Drosophila melanogaster: one gene and its partner. The gene in region 2 interacts genetically with the main gene of each other region. Each region holds a gene or a part of one and is shown on either strand. Other genes may lie near its edges.

Region 1 (7,486 bases), 9.2 Mb from region 2:
ATAAATATATGTATTCCTCTTTTTAGAGCTGAAACCAACACGCCGCCAGTTTTTAGTACAAACTCGTACCTCGCCGACGAGGAGAAGGAGATGGAGTTCCTGCGCAAGCTTTGCGAGATTATGGTGATCCTGCTGCTGCCACGCGGTTATTCCCTGCCCCCATTGAAGGTCTTGCTCAGCGAGATTCTCTCCTACAAGAGTAAGAACCATTGCCGCTTAATAAACGACACGTTTTACTTAGTATCCTGTCCGCAGTTTTCTTTCCGATGATCAAAATGCTGACAGCACCGGACTACATCAACCAGAAGGTGGTCCAAAACATTGAAACTCGCTTGGCAGCGGCGGCCATGAGCAAGAGAAGCTACGAGTATGCAGCCAGCTTCGAGGATTTCCTCAAAATCATCAACAACTCGGGCAACCTCGAGGAGCTCTCGCTCATCCGCAAGAGCATAGTAAACGATCTGATGCATGCTACTACCATGCAGAATCTACAGCGTGCCAAAGGCCTCGATCCGGATCACGAGGACCACTCGCTCTCCAAGTCGGAGCTCACAGCCGCCGTCCGACTGAAGCGCTACGTACGCCAACTCACAATGGCCAAGGGCGAGTGCGAGAAGAATCTGGCCAAGTTCGGCTGGAATGGCAATTACTCGAGTGATATTGTAATTAAACTTTAGCATTCCCCATATCCACAACACTGATAAACTCAATTATTATTTGCAGGACCTAACACTGGTCGAGATCCTAAACACTGCGGTTGGCCGGCGCTACTTCACCCTGTTCCTGGAGCCGCTGAAGGCTAGCGCTCTGATTGGTTTCTACCTGGCCGTGGAGGAGATCAAGCACGCGCACAAGTCGGCCAGCCATCAGCTGGGCACGGAGATCTTTTACACCTACATCAGAGTGCCCAAGTCAGAGATCCAGATTGACAAGCACGAACGCAAACTGATCGAGACGTTCCTGCTGGGAGATGCCGAGCCTGACATCTTCTATGACATCCAGCGCAATGTACTACGCACGCTGGAGGAAAAGTACTATCCGCCATTTGTGCTCAGCGATCAATATCGTCAGTTGAAGGAGGCATTGGACTCCAATGAGATTGCAGATCCCACGCTGCTAATGTGTCACACCATTGGCGATGTACAGGAGCCGCTGGCGGATGAGCAACCGGGCGCGGCGGATGGACTAAATGGCGGAGCTGGTGGTGCCATCGATGTGGCCGCCCACACATCCTATGCACGACGAAAATTGGAACAAATACAGGAACGGATTGATAAAAAGAATCAGGCGCTGGACGCCCTCAAATATTCCGTGAAGCCGGAGTCCAAGGTGCTGACCATTCTCGAAAAGGAGATGGAGTGGCTGAAGAGCGAGAAGCGACAGACAGAGGCGCATTTGCGTCGCACGGACGCCTGGACAGAGCATCTGGGCAAGTGGAAGGCTACCATCCAAAGTGTAGAGGTCAGTGCTCCATCCCTGAGTGATTTTATCAGCCATCTTCAATTTTTTTTTTTTTTTTGCATCTTTTAGGTCTCCGATGAGAAAGAGTCCTTGCAGTTTATGATCTTGGTTCATGTGGACGAGGATATTAATGCCCCAGTACAACCGACTTCATCCAAAAACGGTGACAGCGGCCATGCCAATCTACGTAAGCGACCGTCGGGCATTTCCAGTGGTTGGGTAGTAATGCGCTCCCTTAATCAAGTCCATGTGTGTATTCCCTTTAAGATTCTATAGATCACTCTCACTAACATTTTGGTTATTTGTGAAGGAACTACAACGGAAGCTGAGACACGTGAGCTCTAACCTGAAGGCCATCGACCTGCCTACGAACTTTAAGTTCTTTTTTCTGAAAACAGATCGTCATGGTCAGGAAAAGGCCAAGTCACAGATTCAGAAGTTCTTGAATGTAAGTTTAATTTTTTCTTTTACACCATAGATAAGTTTGTGATTCCATACTTTTTGGCCACTTAGTTTATCCTGGAGGACGATCATTTGAATGGCAGCGAGGCCATCTACACGTTTCTTAGCCCAAGTTCCGACCACCTGAAACAATCGCTGCCCTCGCCAAAGAAGTCCAAATTCTCGCTATCTACGCTATTCCGCAGCGATGCTGGCAAAGCTCACGAGGCCAGCAAGGCAACCGATCCGTTTTGGGGTCTGCAGCGCGATGACGAGGATATATCTACCTATTTAGACGGCGAGTCCGGCGGTGAGGCTAAAATGCTAGCAGCGGATCTGGATAGCAAGGATTCGATAGCAGAACCGATGTACGCTCTAATGGGCGAAATCTTTGACATGGGCGGAGTTTTCAAGTGGTTGCGTAAGAGTCTCATCTCGTTTGTGCAGATCACATACGGCCGTACGATCAATCGACAGATCCGCGAATCGGTGGCCTATCTCTTTGAGGAGTCTATGCTGCACAACTACTTTTCGGCCATCCTCAAGTCATTTTGGCCAGGCGGAGTTCTTGCCTCCGCCTATCCGACGCGATCGGAGGATATGCGCGAAATGACCACCACGGCGGCCAAGGCCCTGCTCACCGATCACATACCGGAGGTACTGTGCAACCTGGTCGGTGCACAGGCTGCCAAACGGGGTGTCCTTAAGGTTTTCGATGCCCTGCAGAATCCCGCCTACAACAAGCAGCTATTCTACGTGAGTAGTGGTTTCAGTGGTCATATAGCCAAATATACAATTGGTATCTCTAATCTTCAGGAGCTGCTGGAGATACTTATGATTGAGTTCTTTCCTGAAATCCGACAATTGCGCGTCAGCAACTCCAATGGAACCAAGTTAAATACGGCTACTGCTGGAGCGGCAGCTGCATCCGCCGCTGCGGCACTGGTGGCTGCCACGGCATCAGCTTCGCTGCCCTCGCTTAATCATAGTGGTGGGGGTCACAGTGCATCCACGGGGGGTCACCAAAACCATCAGGGATCCTCGTCGGCCAGCGGATCCTCAGCTGGCGCGAGTGGCGCCACCGGTGGTGGTGCCGCCTCGCACCACCAATCGCATTACCACCACGGATCCCACCACCACCAGCAGCAGCAGCACCACCATTCGCAAGCGGGCAGTTCGAAGTGAAGTGAACTTAAGAAGAACCACTTCGTTTTAGATTTTACTTTAACCTAAACCCTTTTTTTTATTTATGTTATGTTTTGTTTGATTTTATGTTCAATGTTTAATGCTCTCCCTCTTTCTAACCGGTGGATATTGTTGATTTAGCCGAGGAAAGGGATTACAAAGAATAGTTATGTAGAACACAACACAACTCAGTAGTACCAGTATCATTCCCTGTACAAATGCAGACTTACAATCCATATGAATTCAGTTCTTGTTGATTCGTTCGTCCATCACTTCCTGTAGCCAGATTTGTTTGTTATGTGTATATGTCTGTACATAGGTCAGTATTAAGCGTTGTACCAAATCGTTGTTTATATACTCGTATAGTAAATTGTGACACTCAGTTTGGATTGATTTTAATTATAGTTTAGTAGCAGATATTGAGCCCAAAGTTGCGTCTGCAGCTGGCGTTGAGTCGGTGCTTGTGATTCCCATGCCGCGCCAGCTGTAGATCCATCCTCCCCCCAAAAATATTATAGAAACACAACAGGTGAGATTAGTTTGAGGCAAGCTAATGGGCGTCCAGAACAGTGCGTTCCATGGCCATAAAGCAACTTCCGTATTGACACACATTGTATTCTTTTTCGAATTTGTATTAAAATGATTCAATTGTTGCACATCGATAACCATCAATTAAAAATTGTATTTGAAATTTCCTAATTGACCAAAATTGGTAATGGTATCAAATAATCTTAAAGACTAAGCGTTGATTGAGGCTGTCTTAAAAAACAGAACGTTTGATAACACAATAAAACAGTCGCAAGTCAGGACTTTAAAGAAGCATTAATCCTTAAGCATTTGTGGTTATCCAAATGCATTTTGATACCATGTTAAAACACACAACTCGAAATTACAACATTTAGAATTGACCCAAAATCAGTTTTGTGGACCTGAAACGCCCCGTAGACACCCACCCACCACCACCACGACCCAAAGACACCGGCACCTTCTGTAACACTAGGCAAAATGACACTTAGATGATTCATCCCCAATGAGCCAAACGTATCCCACTTAGGACCCACATTAAGAGTTTCGAGGCGCTTTCAATCTATTTATGTATTGCAGTTGTACACTTTTATGTGAAAATGCGAAATAAAGATCGCTATTTATGTAGATGGTTCACCAGTATTTTGATGGGACCACCCCACATACACTTAGAAAACGACCATATTTGCGACAAGCTTTTCCAGGGGAATGGCTTGCATGTCGACGACCACAATGACGAGATGATTGCGCACTCCCACCGGCTTTTTGATCATCAATCTTACCTCGAAGTATTTCAGCAGAAAGCGCCACTTTAGCTCGCTTTTCTCGCGCTCCGCCAGTCGCTCGAAGTCTTCAGCCCGAAGTCCCAGGATACGTTCTGCCGGATGTCCAGCTAACCGGGCTTCGACGAGAGTGCCGGTCTGGTCGGACAAATGAATGTTGATATTGAAGTAGCTAATGGATCGTGGTTCATCATTGTCCAATGAAAAATACTGCTGGCAGGCGTCCGAGGCGCAATCTTGCAGGTTCCGTGGTATATGTTGTTGACAGGCAATGCTGTAAAATAAAAGGGCTTTTAAGAATATGTCTTGTAAACTATGTAACGGATAGTGGGAAGCGTTTCGGCGGTTAGGAAGGGATGGGGATGTACAACACCCACCACTTCCTGTTGACGTGGGAGGTCAATCCATCCAAGTCGAACTTGGTGACCATCCCATACAGCACTGCAGTAAACTGATGTATGGACGGATCCTGCAGTTCGCCCTCGGCGCGTGAATATATCTGTCTTACCGTCATCTGCGCCTGAATGCTGGCAACTGAAAGAGTTATAGTAAATAATAATACTGCATTAATTATCCTTTACTCACCTGCAGGCATGTTGTCCAGCTCTGCCTGGTCACAGCCACTAAAAGTTGTTAGAGGCACAGTGGCGGCGAAAGCTAGCAAGAGACGGCAATCATCTCCAGCCGCCTGAGGATTTTCGCAAATAAGTGTGCAATTGGAATGGGAGAGGACGAGAGAACGATGAAAGTTCGAGTAGGAAACACGCACGTCGATCAAATGAAGGACAGTGCGACGTGGCTGCCATTGCTGGGCACGTTGTATCCAGTCGGGTTGCCAAACGGAGAGCAGCATACCTTCCGGATAGCTGGCATCGATCACGATTACTTCCAAGCACTGTAGCAGCTCCTGGACCTCACTTAGTGGCCCCTGCAGCTTTCGCTTTATCTGACGCACTGGACGCACTGCAGCCACTACTACCAGTAGATTCACATTGGTGGTGATTATCTTATCGGGAAATCCCAAGCCGGAACGCACATCCGCCAGCTTAAGGACCGCACCAAGTGGCCTTATGGGCTGATGGAGTAACTGCTGGAGAATTGTTATTTGGCCAAAGTCGTCATTGTCGTGGCGCACCACATAGCCGGATCCCTCGTTGACCACCAGGGCGCAGGAGACCGTCGCTTGGGGCTGATAACGCTGTTCTCCCGGAGCAGCAAACGGTATGGACATCACTTTAGCGCCCACAATGTCTACCACATGGCCGATCTGCAGCATGGCCGCGTACTCATCCACACAGTCCCGCTGGCCCCAGCACTTGCAATTGGTCAGGTGATTGGGGGAATCTCGGATGGTCAAGCTGAGAACCCCTCGTTCGGTGCCACTCATCTTGTCATAGAAGATGTTCGGCGAGGATTTGGAGACAATCAGGGCAACGGTGGAGAAACGGGTCATTGTGGGACGCATCTCTGCCAACCGCTGGAACTTAATACGCCTTGCCATTGAAATTATTTAAGAAATCGCGACCAGTCAGATTGCAGTGCTTAAGAAAACCGTTACATTGCCGTTACCGCCGATTAGTAGTTATCGATGTTTGTAGTGATGGTACACCACAAATGGCCGTAGATTCAGTTAGTAACAGAAAGTATTGCTAACAACTTAGTTTGATAAAAACCACAATTAAAACATTTACAGAAAGTTGCGCTTATTAATTGTAACCATTGGAATCGATAATAATCGGATGGCATCCGAATACCAGACGTACCATCCCTAATAAGCTGACACACACTACGCATATGTGCACCCGCGCACACACACACGCACACACAGAGGGGAACGGCACAGATTTACTGCGTTAAACAAACTCACTTGTCGCACTTTTCCACGAATGCCAGTGCGCTGAAAGTGAAACCCATCCGCCGGAGCATAGTAGGATTAGCCAGGACAACCGTTCAGCTCAGTGCCCCAGAAGCATTTAATTGGAGGAGCAACAGTCGAGCAACCCGCGACCCGCAGACCCAGTCTTGGCAGCCCACAGCCACTCAAAATGGTCAAACTATTCGCGTTGAGCATCTTTCACAAGGGCGCCAGCGAGGCGCGTCTCCTGAAGACCGCCTCGGACCTGCAGTCCTTCTCCTTTTTCCAACGTGGCACCGTCAACGAGTTCATGACGTGAGTATGCATGTGGATGCCAAAGAACGGCGCAGGCTCAAAGAGTCATCAATGACGAACACCCCCCTAAACAACTCCTCCTCTTGCAGTTTCGCTTCGAAGACGATTGTGGAGCGCACACAGCCGGCCCTGCGGCAATCGGTGAAACAGGATGCCTACATGTGTCATGTCTATGTGCGGGCGGACAATCTGGCCGGTGTACTGATCGCCGATCATGAGTATCCGCATCGCGTGGCGCACACGCTTATCACAAAGATTCTGGATGACTTTACGGCCAAGGTGTCGGCCGATCAGTGGCCCAATGGCACGGAGGCCACTATCTCATTTGACTTGCTGCCAGCGTTTCTAGCACGCTATCAAAATCCCGTCGAAGCAGATCCGCTGACGAAAATGCAAAACGACCTGGACGAAACGAAGATCATACTGAAGAATACCATCGAGGCGGTGCTGGAGCGGGGCGAGAAGCTGGACGACATGGTCAGCAAGTCGGAGAAATTGTCGCTGCAGAGCAAGGCGTTCTACAAGACGGCGAAAAAGACTAACTCCTGCTGCAGCTTCACCTAGACGACAGCTGCACCTCTCATCACCCCCCACCACACGCTAATCCTCTCAAGCAACAACCACAACAGGAAACACCAGAAAATGCAAATCAAAGACAACACAAAGGATAATGGATAACACGATAACACCAACAAACTACAACCAAACAAACTCCAAGGGAGCGGTGCGACTTGGGCTTTGATGATTGCTTTTTATAAATGAATTAGTTAATTTTATATACTATATATATATATTATATTATATACTGTATGAATAGGATGGCCAGTTGCCAGTTACGATAGTCCGCTAACCCAATGTCTACCTGTCTGTATATGTCTACGCTTTGGATATCTAAATGTTAATTACTACCAATACAGATTAC
Region 2 (11,373 bases):
GTCCTCGTAGCTATTCAGATACTGAAGTAACCAGCGTGTAAACTTGTTCATGTACGGATCGATGCAGGAGATCACATTGAAATTGAAGACCGCCGGCGGTGCCTGGTTTTCTTTGGCCCCGAAAATGCCCTGCACGAAATGCTCGCAGTGAAAGATGGCCACACAAACGTCCGATTCAAGGACCTCCAGCCGCAGCGCCAGCTTGGCAAAGCACTCAGCTAATTGCTTCAGCACTATATAGGTCTTGCTAGAGAAGACATCTGGAAATGAGCGGGATGGAAAACGTTAGTTGCCATCGATTAGAGGAGCACAAAATAGTAACAAAAGTTGTAAATAGTATTTCAAGTTTCGAAAATAATTAACAATTTGACTCTGTTAATTGTTCTCGAAACATGCTAAATGCGAAACATTACTAAAGTCAGTTTGGATGAGATCTGTTTGAATTGTGATTGTTGTTGTGTTTGTTGATCTGTGTTTCATAAAGCCGTACTGACACGACCCTTCGCTTTGAAGCTAGGAAGACGATTTGCTGCTTAATGGAATTAGACTTACTCGGTCGCTCTTTCCTGGAGATCACATAATACTTTTGCAGCATATGCTGAGCGCCATCGGTTAAGGTGGTCTTGCGCTGATGCAACAGATGTATAAGCATGCGCATATCGTCCTCGGGAATGCTCAAGCCATCGTTGACTACAATTTGACCCTCAGCGTTGTGCTTCTGAATTATAGAGTTCCAGAGACTATTGCTGGCCTGAGCACCCATATAAATTGGCAGCCCGAAGATTCTGCAAATTAGGTTAACTTAATATACAAGCGTAATTTCTAGTTTTGTCCACCTTACGGGCACAGTTTGGCGAGGGCCAGTGTTTGATTGGTGGAGTTGTTCGGCTGCCAGTAAGTCCAAACGGCTGCCTTTAAGGGCTGATCGATGTGCAACTGCGGAACTGGGACCGCTCCATTTTCGATGCACTTTTCCAGCTGGCATCCCTGATCCTTGGACAGACGATTCCAATCGCCGGCGTAGTAAACTCCCTGTTGTGCCAATAGTAAAGGACTGGCCACTATCCAATTAAAGCGCGTGGGCAGGGCATTGAAAGTGGGCTGCAGTCCGTATTCGTGGGGTCCCAGGAAACGTGGTGCCAGTTGGCCCACTTTGTTAAGTAGACGGTTGGCCATCAGGCTGTCGGTGGCGATTATGCATAGCGAAATTGGAGCCCGCACCTCATCAGATTCGATTGAAACGATACTGGCCAGCAGTATCATCTTCAGGTACACAAAGCAATCCATAGGCACACAGTCCTGACTGATCTGAGCACTTAGGGCGTAGACAAAGGAGTAGTCAGAATACTGCGATGAGATCAAGTGATGTAGTTTCTTGATGCTGGACGGCACGCAGTTTAGATCCGGCTTGGGATATTCTTGGCCGTGCTGTGATGGGGCTCGAAATATCATATGACGCTCGAGTGGTGGTCCTGCGTCCTTAGCGAGGTACGCGTTTTCCTCGCCGTGTTCGTCGGCGACGACCTGGTTCTCCGACTGGAAACTCGGGGGCTCTATCTCCGACTCCCACTGCCATTCCTGGTCCTGTTGCTCCGGCTGGGTTTCCTCCTGATCCATATCCAACAGAGGCCTGCTGTACATTAGGTCCTCGTCCTGGTGGATGCATGATTCCCACAAGTGTTGCTGGTGCTGGTTCTCCACCGGCGGCGAACTGAGAGTATGCGATAACTGGGTGGGCCCGGAAATGCTGGATGGGAGGCGGCTGGAGCTCATATGCTGGATGGGGGGTGGCGAACTGGTAAATATATCCATATTGGTGGTGCCAACCCCTGTACACGGGAGACTGGCTAGCCGAAAAACCGACTGGCTGACACTGTTGCTTTGGATTTCAACCGGAATTTGTGGTGACGAGTTGCTCCATATAATTCCCGACTGCTGATCAAAATAGAACACGGGCGGCAGATTGCCGGTGGCACTCACCTCGATCATTGCCGGTGGTACAATGGCTTCGATCGGTGTGTCGACTGTCTGTCGTGGTGGACATGGCTGATCATCTATCTCAGAGGTGTATTCGAGTATTGGTTCTGGGGCGCTGTCAGGATTTGGTAGTTGCTCGCGTGGGTTATTTTTTTTCGCGTGCAAAGAGCGCGTAAAACGCTGTCGACAGCGTCTTTGCTGTAATTGTCCAATATAGAAAGGGTTATCTAATGAGGATTAAACTTACGGTGCAGTAACTTACGCTCAATCTAGACACTTTGTGGGTTAGATGGGATTCTCCGGTAGGGTGGAACTCCTTAGCATTTGAGTTCAAAACGCTGCCCATAGCCAATTTTCGCATGTGGCTGCTCGCATGGATTTCTGGTGAGCTTTTCACCTGGCGCGGTTTCTCCTGTTGCTGGTACGGCACCACCTCTTTTTCCGGCGTTTTCCCTGAAGATCCCTCAAGCAAGGACTCTGTAAACTCTCGACTTACCGCCTGCAGACTGCGCACCATCCGGGGGTTGTGATTGCGACGTGGGAATCTCCTCTGCCTTCTCTCACTTTGATTAGGCGTCGGCGGCATAACATCCTCGTCCTCATTGTGGACAACACTGGGACCCGAAGATTGAGTGGTCTGCTGTCTGGGCGCAATGCGGATTGGTGCCGAAGAATTGTTTGTAACTGAAGCTCTCTTCGCAGGGCTCCTTGAGTGCAAGTAAATGAGCTCGGTAGGTCTCTCTGATTGCGACTGAGTATGATTAACAGGGTTCATCTGCTGCTGAACAGAAGTTTTCGGACAATTCTGAAGAATCTTTGGCTTCTGCTGCTGTTGTTGTTTCCAAGAGTGCTGAATGCCAGGAGACTTCTGATTGTTTTGGCTCCTTTCATTATTGGCAGGACTCTTCTGTTGCTGCTGTTGGAATTTGCTGGGAGAATTTTCAGAACTCTTCTGCTGTAAAGAACTGGCAGAACTCTTCTGATGATGCGAGGAATTGACCCAACTCCTTTGCTTCTGTATGAAATTGACCGAACTCCTCTGCTGCTGTGAAGAATTGACCCAACTCTTCCGCTTCTGTAAGGAATGGACCGAACTATTCTGCTGCTGTAAGGAACTGGCAGAACTGTTTTGCTGCTGTAAAGAATTGGCGGAAGCCATCTGCTGCATGTTAGTAAAACCGACAGAACTCTTCTGCTGCTCCTTTGGAGAGTTAGGTGTTTTCTGCTGATGCTCGACAGAATTAGCCGGACTTGTCTCCTCCTGTTGGGATTTAGCTGGAGTATTCTGCTCCTGTTGGATATTCTTCTCACCCGGAGAGGACTGGGCAGAACTTTTTGGCGTCAGCGGCTGTACTGAATCTTTACTCAGCAGTGTTATATTGGTCGAAGAAGAGCAACGTGCCTGGTCGCTTAAAGACTTTTGGCTGTCGCTAGGACGTACTGACGACAGCCAAGTGGTCACCGATTGATGATTGCTGTTGCTCGATTTCGGAAGCATGAAATCCGGCAAAAAGTTACCCAGCACAGGCGGATCTTTTACGCGACTAAAACGACTGGCAAGGCACGAAACAGTGCCGCCGTCATCTTGATTACGCACCCGCGGCGTTCGTTGTTTGAATCTCTTCGGGCGCTGGCCCAAATCAGGATACTCTTCGGCACTCACAACAAAGCTACGATCAGGCTTAGTGACTTCTTTAGATAAGCGCCAGACGTTAACATTTGGTTTGTAGACACCGGCCTTCGGTGTGGGAGTCATAATAGGCGTCACATCGCTTTCGACCAGGCCATTCGATGGTATGGTGCTGGGCATTGGGGGATACATTAATATATTTGCTTATTATAATGGTGTAAATAGAATATTCTACCCTATGGAGCTTGTGTTGGCATTTTGAGTAACTTCACGAACTTCACCATCGTCATCGTTGCGCAAGAAAACATTAAGCTGGAGGGGAATGTGCCTACGAGGGTCCTTTTTCTCTAGTTTATTCGTAGATGACATGCTTCCAGTTGATATGTGCTGGCTGAGCTCGCAAAGTATCCAGTGATTAGGTAGCTAGCACCCAACTTTAATTCGCAGTCGTGGGCGTGGGCTAAGAAATGTTGTTAATATTATGATTATTCATGATAGTGACATCCAAATGAGTATGTCCTAGTTTACCAGGCATATTTAATTTCACGTGTTTATGATGTCCTGAATACCAGATTCACTTACCTCTAAGGCGAACTAATTTTGGGCGATGAAGGCAATTGGTGACACGAGGTGTCTGAACTGCCGAAATAGGCAAGACAGCCAAGATACGATAGGTTTCCGTGACGCGCAGCTTTTGGTATTCACTCATGGGCCGCGAGCAGCTCGAACAAAAGGGTGCTGAAAGATATCAAGAAGATGGATTAGCAATGGAGCTGGCACAGGATCTCGTGAACAAGGAATGCTGGGTTAGATAACATTTTGTTAGACAGGGTTCCGAGGGTTGTGAGTATGGCTAGAGGTTAGAGGTTGTTAGTTAGAGGTTGTTGGCTGTGCCACAATTTGGATAAAGTGCACGTTGTTTCTTTATGTTCCTAGCCTATGGGACCTACCATCTGTTGAGCTGGTCTGTATGGCATTTCGCATACAGCCACTGCCGCAGTACCAGATCGATTGTAGGCTACAATGGAATATCAGGATATAAATTACACATATTATCAAAGATTGGTACACCCTAGCAGAGCAGCTGTGTGTTTTATAATTAATATGTTTAGAAACAGATATTGCCTAAAGCATAAGAAAATAATACATGCAATAGACAAATAATAAATACCATTAACCCACTTAAATAAAAAATAACGATAATACGATCCATGCTTTTTTAACTTTAACAACAATGAACATTCATAGAAAGTTAATGGGATATAGATATACTTCTTTTGTAGGTTGGTATTTACACTTAAGAGACTAAGCTTAAAACCCTCTTGAACTAAACCAAAAAGGGTAAACCAGCTTGGCTAGCTTGGTTAGTTAAGAACTATAACTATAATTAATCAGGCATGACAGGATACATAGTACCCAAACATAACCAAATCGAATAAGAAAAATGTGGAAAAAGCACACCAAAGCAAACTAGGGGAACATTGCAATTCTCTGCCAGGACATGTACAAACTGTAAAACTGACACCAGTGTTTCTTGCGGCGTGAAAGCGGCTAGGATGCCCCGGATCTGGGACAAGCCCAGCCGGGTCAACTGGTCCCGCGGCTCGAACTGCAGGCCCGGCGTAAAGGGCAGTCCCACCAGGCGCCAGTGGGCGTGCAGCTGGTTGATATCGATGGGCTTCAGGCCAGCGTCCTTGAGATGTGAGCGGATCAAGCCATAAACCGAGTAGCGGACCGCTTCTTGAAACTGCAGCGGTTCCTCGACGATGAGCTGCAGTAGTTGCGGTGAGATATCGAGTAGTTGCCGGTATTCGAAGTCCAGGCGCAGCTGGATGGGGGCCAGCAGGTCCTCTGGCCGCCGGGAGCTCATATAGTTCGCCACAAAGCGGCCAGAGGAGACCTGGACCAGCTTGAGCAGCTGCGTCTGCCGGCAAAAGTGCTCAACCAACTTCTGATCGTGGAATCTGTATTGTATATTAGCATTTCGTGTTTTATGTCTTTAGGAGCCTGCGAAAATAAATGCGCCCTGTTTTTTAACCAGGATTACCGTGCACTTACTGGCTTTTTAATGGAGTCTCGTTTACAACTGATGATCCTTCGCTTGCATCCACTGTGAACATTATACACTAATCCAGAAATGTGAACTTATTTCAATCCGACCTACTACCAAAGAATTTTAAAATGAAGTGTTTGACTAAGGAAAAATTGGAATTAAAACCGATTGCGATATGAAGTGTACCTATCGAGCCCTGATTTAAATCGATACTGAAGTTTTTCGATCGGGTAATGTGTGACTTAGATTTTAAATGTCGTTAAATGACTAATGACTAGCCTCCTACAATAAATGGATCTTTTGTTGCTTTGGCATAGAGTTCTTCAAAAGCGAAGAATAGAATATATAAATGTAGAATTTAAGGGCTTAAAACAATCGGAGTATTGTAAACTGTTGCCAGCTTTCCAATACATTTATTTTAGAAAAGTGATGCCAGATCGATGGAGTATCGCAACTATCTATAGATTTTATACACTAAAAAAACCGTATTTTAGTGATCTATCGTGAGTAGTTAGAGAAATATCTATGAAAGAAATTGTATCAATATCGATAAAAAAAACTTTTTAAAGTTTCAATTTGTTTAAACCATGTAATTTACTTTAATTTTTTAGCTAAATTTCATTTCAATATTTTTAGCTATTCCAAGCAAGACAATTTCACGTTTTACTCACGCTTAACCTCACATATTTCTGACACCAGCAGCCCGATAGAAAATAGCTAAAATATCCGTTCTTCTCTGACAACCAAGTTTATTATAAACTAAAAACTATAAAAAAAGAATGGTCTGAAGTGAATTTTTCATCTTGTTGTTTATTTTAGTTTTAGTGTATCATTTCTCAGTGTACACACGTTATTTGTATAAAAAAAAACAGACAGAAGTTTGTTTTTGCTGGTGATGATGTCTCCTTAACGGTTGGACTTGGCGACACGCTCCAACTCATCCTTCTTCTTGATGGCGTACGAGTTGGAAGATCCCTGGAAATACATTTAAACACAAGTTATTAGTATTGGCTATCAATGTTTTTCTAGATCTTTTATATGTTAATTGCGCTGTTATGTTACTGTTACTGCATTGTATGGATTCATCGCTTCTAAATAAATAAATATAAAAAAACAAGTCCCTAACTTATTTAAAGCTAGTGTTCCTTTACGTTTCTCATGTGCATTGAACTAAGCAATATTACAAGCACAAGGATAATAAAGGATGGAAATTAATCTGGTCCAAAAGCGAGACTACATAATTAAACCACCATGCAGAATTAGATTGGACCTATTATTAAGCTCTATATACCAACTCTTAAATAGTTTGCTAATGTTCTTTTACGTTTCTCGTGTGCATTAGACTGATATTGTCACAAGCACAAGGATAATAAAGGATGGTGATTGTTCTGGTCCAAAAGCGAGACTACATAATTAAACCACTATGCAGAATTAGATTGGACCCCCGCTATCCTAATCGAATCAGTTCCTAAATGCTAATTCATAAAAGTGTTCTTTTACGTTTCTCGTGTGCATAGGACAGTTAAGTGGTCACTAGCACAAGGATAATAAGAGATTTGGAGTTTGATCTGGTCCAAAAGCGAGACTACATAAATAAACCATGATGCAGAATTAGATTGGACTAGTTGAAATGACTAGCTGTGTCACTAGAAGGAAGAAAAGAGCTATTTCGAAGCTCAATTCTTGGGTTAATCCGAGTGCCGAACGTGGTTCTCGATCTGGTCTACAAGCGAGGCCAGGCATTTTGGTAGTACAATGCCAAGCATTAGAGTAGACCACCCCATTCCCACTTTGATCTCGCCACAAGCCCAATTTACCCACCTTAGCAGCGTTGATCAGCTCATCAGCCAGGCACTCGGCGATGGTCTTGATGTTCCTGAAGGCAGCCTCACGAGCTCCAGTGCACAGCAGCCAGATAGCCTAAAGGAAATATACGGAAAAAAATTAATTAAGTAACTTTATGAACGCAATCACAGCAGCGTAAGAATTTGGGGTTCTTATCGTTAGTAAAATGAAAGTGTGTTATGCAATTGATAATGTCTCTTCGTTTCATACGCCAAATGTCGGCTATACTACACATTATGACGCTACGGATATTAGATAGATTTTCGTTCTGGCCAAGTGTTATAAGCAAGCAGTCTCTAAACGAACCACAAGCCATTGCTACCGGCCACCGTGAGCACATGCATCTGGAAGGCAAATCTTCAGAAGAAACCCACCTGGTTGACGCGACGCAGGGGCGACACATCGACGGCCTGGCGACGGACGGTACCGGCACGTCCAATACGGGTGGAGTCCTCACGGGGTCCCGAGTTGATGATGGCGCTGACCAGGATCTGCAAAGAGGTCACAAAAAAAAATCGAAATGAGTAAGCTATCACTTGATCCACTCGAAGCACCAAAGTAGAATTTTTGCTGTTGATTTATTGCTTTATTAAGGTTGCATTTTTGAGGCCATGCCCTTAAGAGGAATAGCTAATCATGGGGTTTATTGTGGTCCAATTGAATACCACAACGCTGTAGGGATCAACGCTGCAGTTTTAGTTTTGGACGGATAATGATACCCTTGGTGAATAATGCTTAACTTTAGTGTTGTTTTAATTTCCAGGAGAGCAGGAAGTGGCTTATATCTTCAGGCACAAGGATAGTTAAAACAATTTCAATTGATATTAGTCCATTTTTGGTTATGCTCAGTATGGCATCGTATTTTTAAGCCATCTGGCATTGAGGTGGACTGACACGCGGTTTCTGAGAATAGGTTTTTGTTGATTTATGCTTTATTAAGGTTGCATTTTTGAGGCCATGCCCTTAAGAGGAATAGCTAATCATGGGGTTTATTATGGTCCAGTTGAATACCACAACCCTGTAAGGATCAACGCTGCAGTTTTAGTTTTGGACGGATAATGATACCCTTGGTGAATAATGCTTAACTTTAGTGTTGTTTTAATTTCCAGGAGAGCAGGAAGTGGCTTATATCTTCAAGCACAAGGATAGTTAAAACAATTTCAATTGATATTAGTCCATTTTTGGTTATGCTCAGTATGGCATCGTATTTTTAAGCCATCTGGCATTGAGGTGGACTGACACGCGGTTTCTGAGAATAGGATTTTGTTGATTTATGCTTTATTAAGATTGCATTTTTGAGGCCATGCCCTTAAGAGGAATAGCTAACCATGGGATTTCCTGTGGTCCAATTGAATGCCACAACGCTGCAGAGATCAACGCTGCAGTTTTAGTTTTGGACGGACACTGATCTCTGTAATGAATGCTTTCTTTCTAATGTAGTCTTAAATTCCAGGAGAGCGGGAAGTGGCTTAATCTTCAAGCACTAGGATAATTAACACTTATTCCTCTGAGTCTATTTAATATATGCCTTAGCTGGGATGGAATTTCCTTCAACTAGCATTGAGGTAGACTCATTGTGAAAGATCCACTAATATGCTATTGTCTTAAATGTCGAATTAAGTTCCAGGAGAGCGGGAAGTGGTTTTATCTTCAAGCACAAGGATAGTTAATACCTTTTCCTATGAGTCCATTAAGAGTTATGCTCAGTTCGGCTGAAAATTACCATCAACTGGCATTGAGGAGGACTCCTCTATAATACTATTGTAGCTTTAAGTTCCAGGAGAACCAGAATTTGCTTTCTATTCTAGCACTAGGATAATTAAATCTTTGGTTCACTATTAGTCCCTTTGAGAGTTATGCTTCGGAAAGTATGTAGAACATAGCCAGCATTGAGGAGGACTAGAAATCAGTGAAGATTCCCTTTAAATCAGTTTAAACCAAGGTACCGCATATGCTTTATAATGGTTTTGTAATGTGGTTTTAAGTTCCCGGAGAACAAGAAGAGGCTTTGATATCTTCAAGCACTAGGACATTAAAACCTTGTGTTCGCTCTGCGTGCCCATTCTACCCATGACCGAGTGGCAACGTTCTCTGGCCACAGTTTAGCATGGGACGCGGTGGAATTGGGAACATTTGGACGGGATGGGCATGTTTACCTGCAGAGGGTTCTCCCCGGTGAGCAGATGAATGATCTCGAACGAGTGCTTGACGATGCGGCAGGCCATCAGCTTCTTGCCGTTGTTGCGACCCTTCATCATCAGGGAGCAGGTCAAACGCTCCACAATGGGGCACTGGGCCTTGCGGAAACGCTTGGCGGCATAACGTCCGGCGGAATGGGGAAGATAGCGGGCAAACTTCTCCTTCACCGAGATGTAATCCTGCAGAGAGATGTCGTTAACGGTGACATCGTCGCAAGACCAGCGGCCGAACAGCTTGATCTCCGGCAGCTCAGTGGTGGACACCACATTTGTCTCCAGGATCGTCTCGGCCACCTCGGCTTCCATAGGTGCCGCTGGCTCCTCGAAGGTCTCCACCACGTTTTCAGCAACTTCGGCCATGCTGCAATAGTTTTTGGAAGGCAAATAAGTTAGTCACGTGTCTGCAAATCGGTATTGGTAATTCTACTGTGGGATGGGATACTTGAGGGCTTTGCGATCTATTACTATCACAGACATTCATTAATGGTTGGTTAATGGTATTTGTTCGTTGATTTTAATAAGCTAACTTCTATTATTGAACATCATTGTATGGCTTGAACATCACCTAGAAGTTTTACAGAAACGTGTTTTTCAGTATTTGTTTATGGAAACATCGTCCCTTTTGTACAAATTTTATACACATACAAATTGTTTATAACTTTAACTAGATTTCGTTTGAAAAATTCTTTTACAAATACAAAACCCAAGAAAAGGCTGTGATAAACTGATACGAATAATTTTTAGAGCCTTAACATTCGTTTTTAAATCTTAAAAACGTCTTAAAACAAAAATAAACTACAAAAAAAGTTCCAAGGTTTATGAAAGACGGAAGTTTCAGTGAAGATTACGTTTAAGTATACAAAAAGGGTCACAATAACTTTTAAATACATATTTAAGTAGTTTTCCTGCGTTAACACGTTTTTTTTAAACTGTAGATGGGCGCTATACGCACACACACACACGCATAAGCACCGTAAAAAACACACGCGCGTTGTTGTTGTTGAATTGCGAGTTTTTAAGGGTTTATACTTTCTTGAAGGTTATCCTTTTGGATAATTGGCTCAATATACGTGGATGTATATTGTATTAAACATATTCTTGCGCTGCAAGCAGATAAAAAAAATATACAAAAAAAAAGGGGAAACAAACACGTGTGACGCACACACACAGTTGCACTCGCGCGCACACACACAAACAAAAAGCCGCCCGTTTTTAACCTCATTTCGGTGGAAATGGCAATATTCCGCAGTTTGCCGCAGTAAATTCACAAAACCCTTAGTATCCACACTAGTTGCCAGCGTTTAGCCGTCTTTTGGCCATCCTCTGGCCACAATCCACACAATTAAACGTTGAAAATCCCTTACTTTGTCACAGAAGAAATCGAGATACGATGTCAGCGCAAAGGCAAACGCCTGAAAAAGAACATGTTACGGCAGTGTGCAGCAACGCCAGAGAGTCCGCTTCCGCCGACACGCACACGGTTGCATTCCGGCTGCCAGGGCTGCGCAACAAGTGAACTATCGAACGGAGATAGGCGGCCATGAGTGGGGATTATTCCTCGACTTAATCACTTTTTCGAACGCGTTTGCTACTTGAGTTGCACATTTATATGTACTTCATAGAAATATACCCTGCTTTCAGGCATACTATTAGTTTTAAGCCACTTTTTT

The links. A genetic interaction does not mean that the proteins touch.
Region 1: of mei-218 (region 2) and hdm, changing one suppresses a phenotype caused by changing the other (phenotypic suppression), as found in Drosophila melanogaster (one study listed by BioGRID).

The regions. Positions count from the first base shown.
Region 1 is NC_004354.4:7,914,237-7,921,722, forward strand, and holds hdm (hold'em), read right to left. Parts: upstream 5,896-7,486; coding exon 4,980-5,895; intron 4,929-4,979; coding exon 4,772-4,928; intron 4,669-4,771; coding exon 4,281-4,668; downstream 1-4,280. Other genes in the region: snz (snazarus), read left to right, coding at 27-199, 256-662, 724-1,461, 1,531-1,710, 1,772-1,909, 1,975-2,658, 2,719-3,087; YKT6 v-SNARE, read left to right, coding at 6,440-6,564, 6,654-7,128. UniProt on the Drosophila melanogaster protein: Single-stranded DNA-binding protein required for meiosis. May be involved in the resolution of recombination intermediates into crossovers in the meiotic recombination pathway.
Region 2 is NC_004354.4:17,137,137-17,148,509, forward strand, and holds the start of mei-218 (meiotic 218), read right to left. Parts: upstream 5,855-11,373; 5' UTR 5,728-5,854; coding exon of another isoform or gene 5,666-5,727; 5' UTR 5,572-5,665; coding exon of another isoform or gene 5,131-5,571; 5' UTR 4,626-5,130; coding exon of another isoform or gene 4,558-4,625; intron 4,459-4,557; exon of another isoform or gene 4,346-4,458; coding exon of another isoform or gene 4,190-4,345; intron 4,068-4,189; coding exon of another isoform or gene 3,977-4,067; coding exon 3,843-3,976; intron 3,780-3,842; coding exon 2,240-3,779; intron 2,176-2,239; coding exon 842-2,175; intron 786-841; coding exon 553-785; intron 261-552; coding exon 1-260. Other genes in the region: mei-217 (meiotic 217), read right to left, coding at 3,955-4,067, 4,190-4,345, 4,558-4,625, 5,131-5,571, 5,666-5,727; RpS5a (ribosomal protein S5a), read right to left, coding at 6,567-6,635, 7,482-7,580, 7,880-7,996, 9,662-10,063.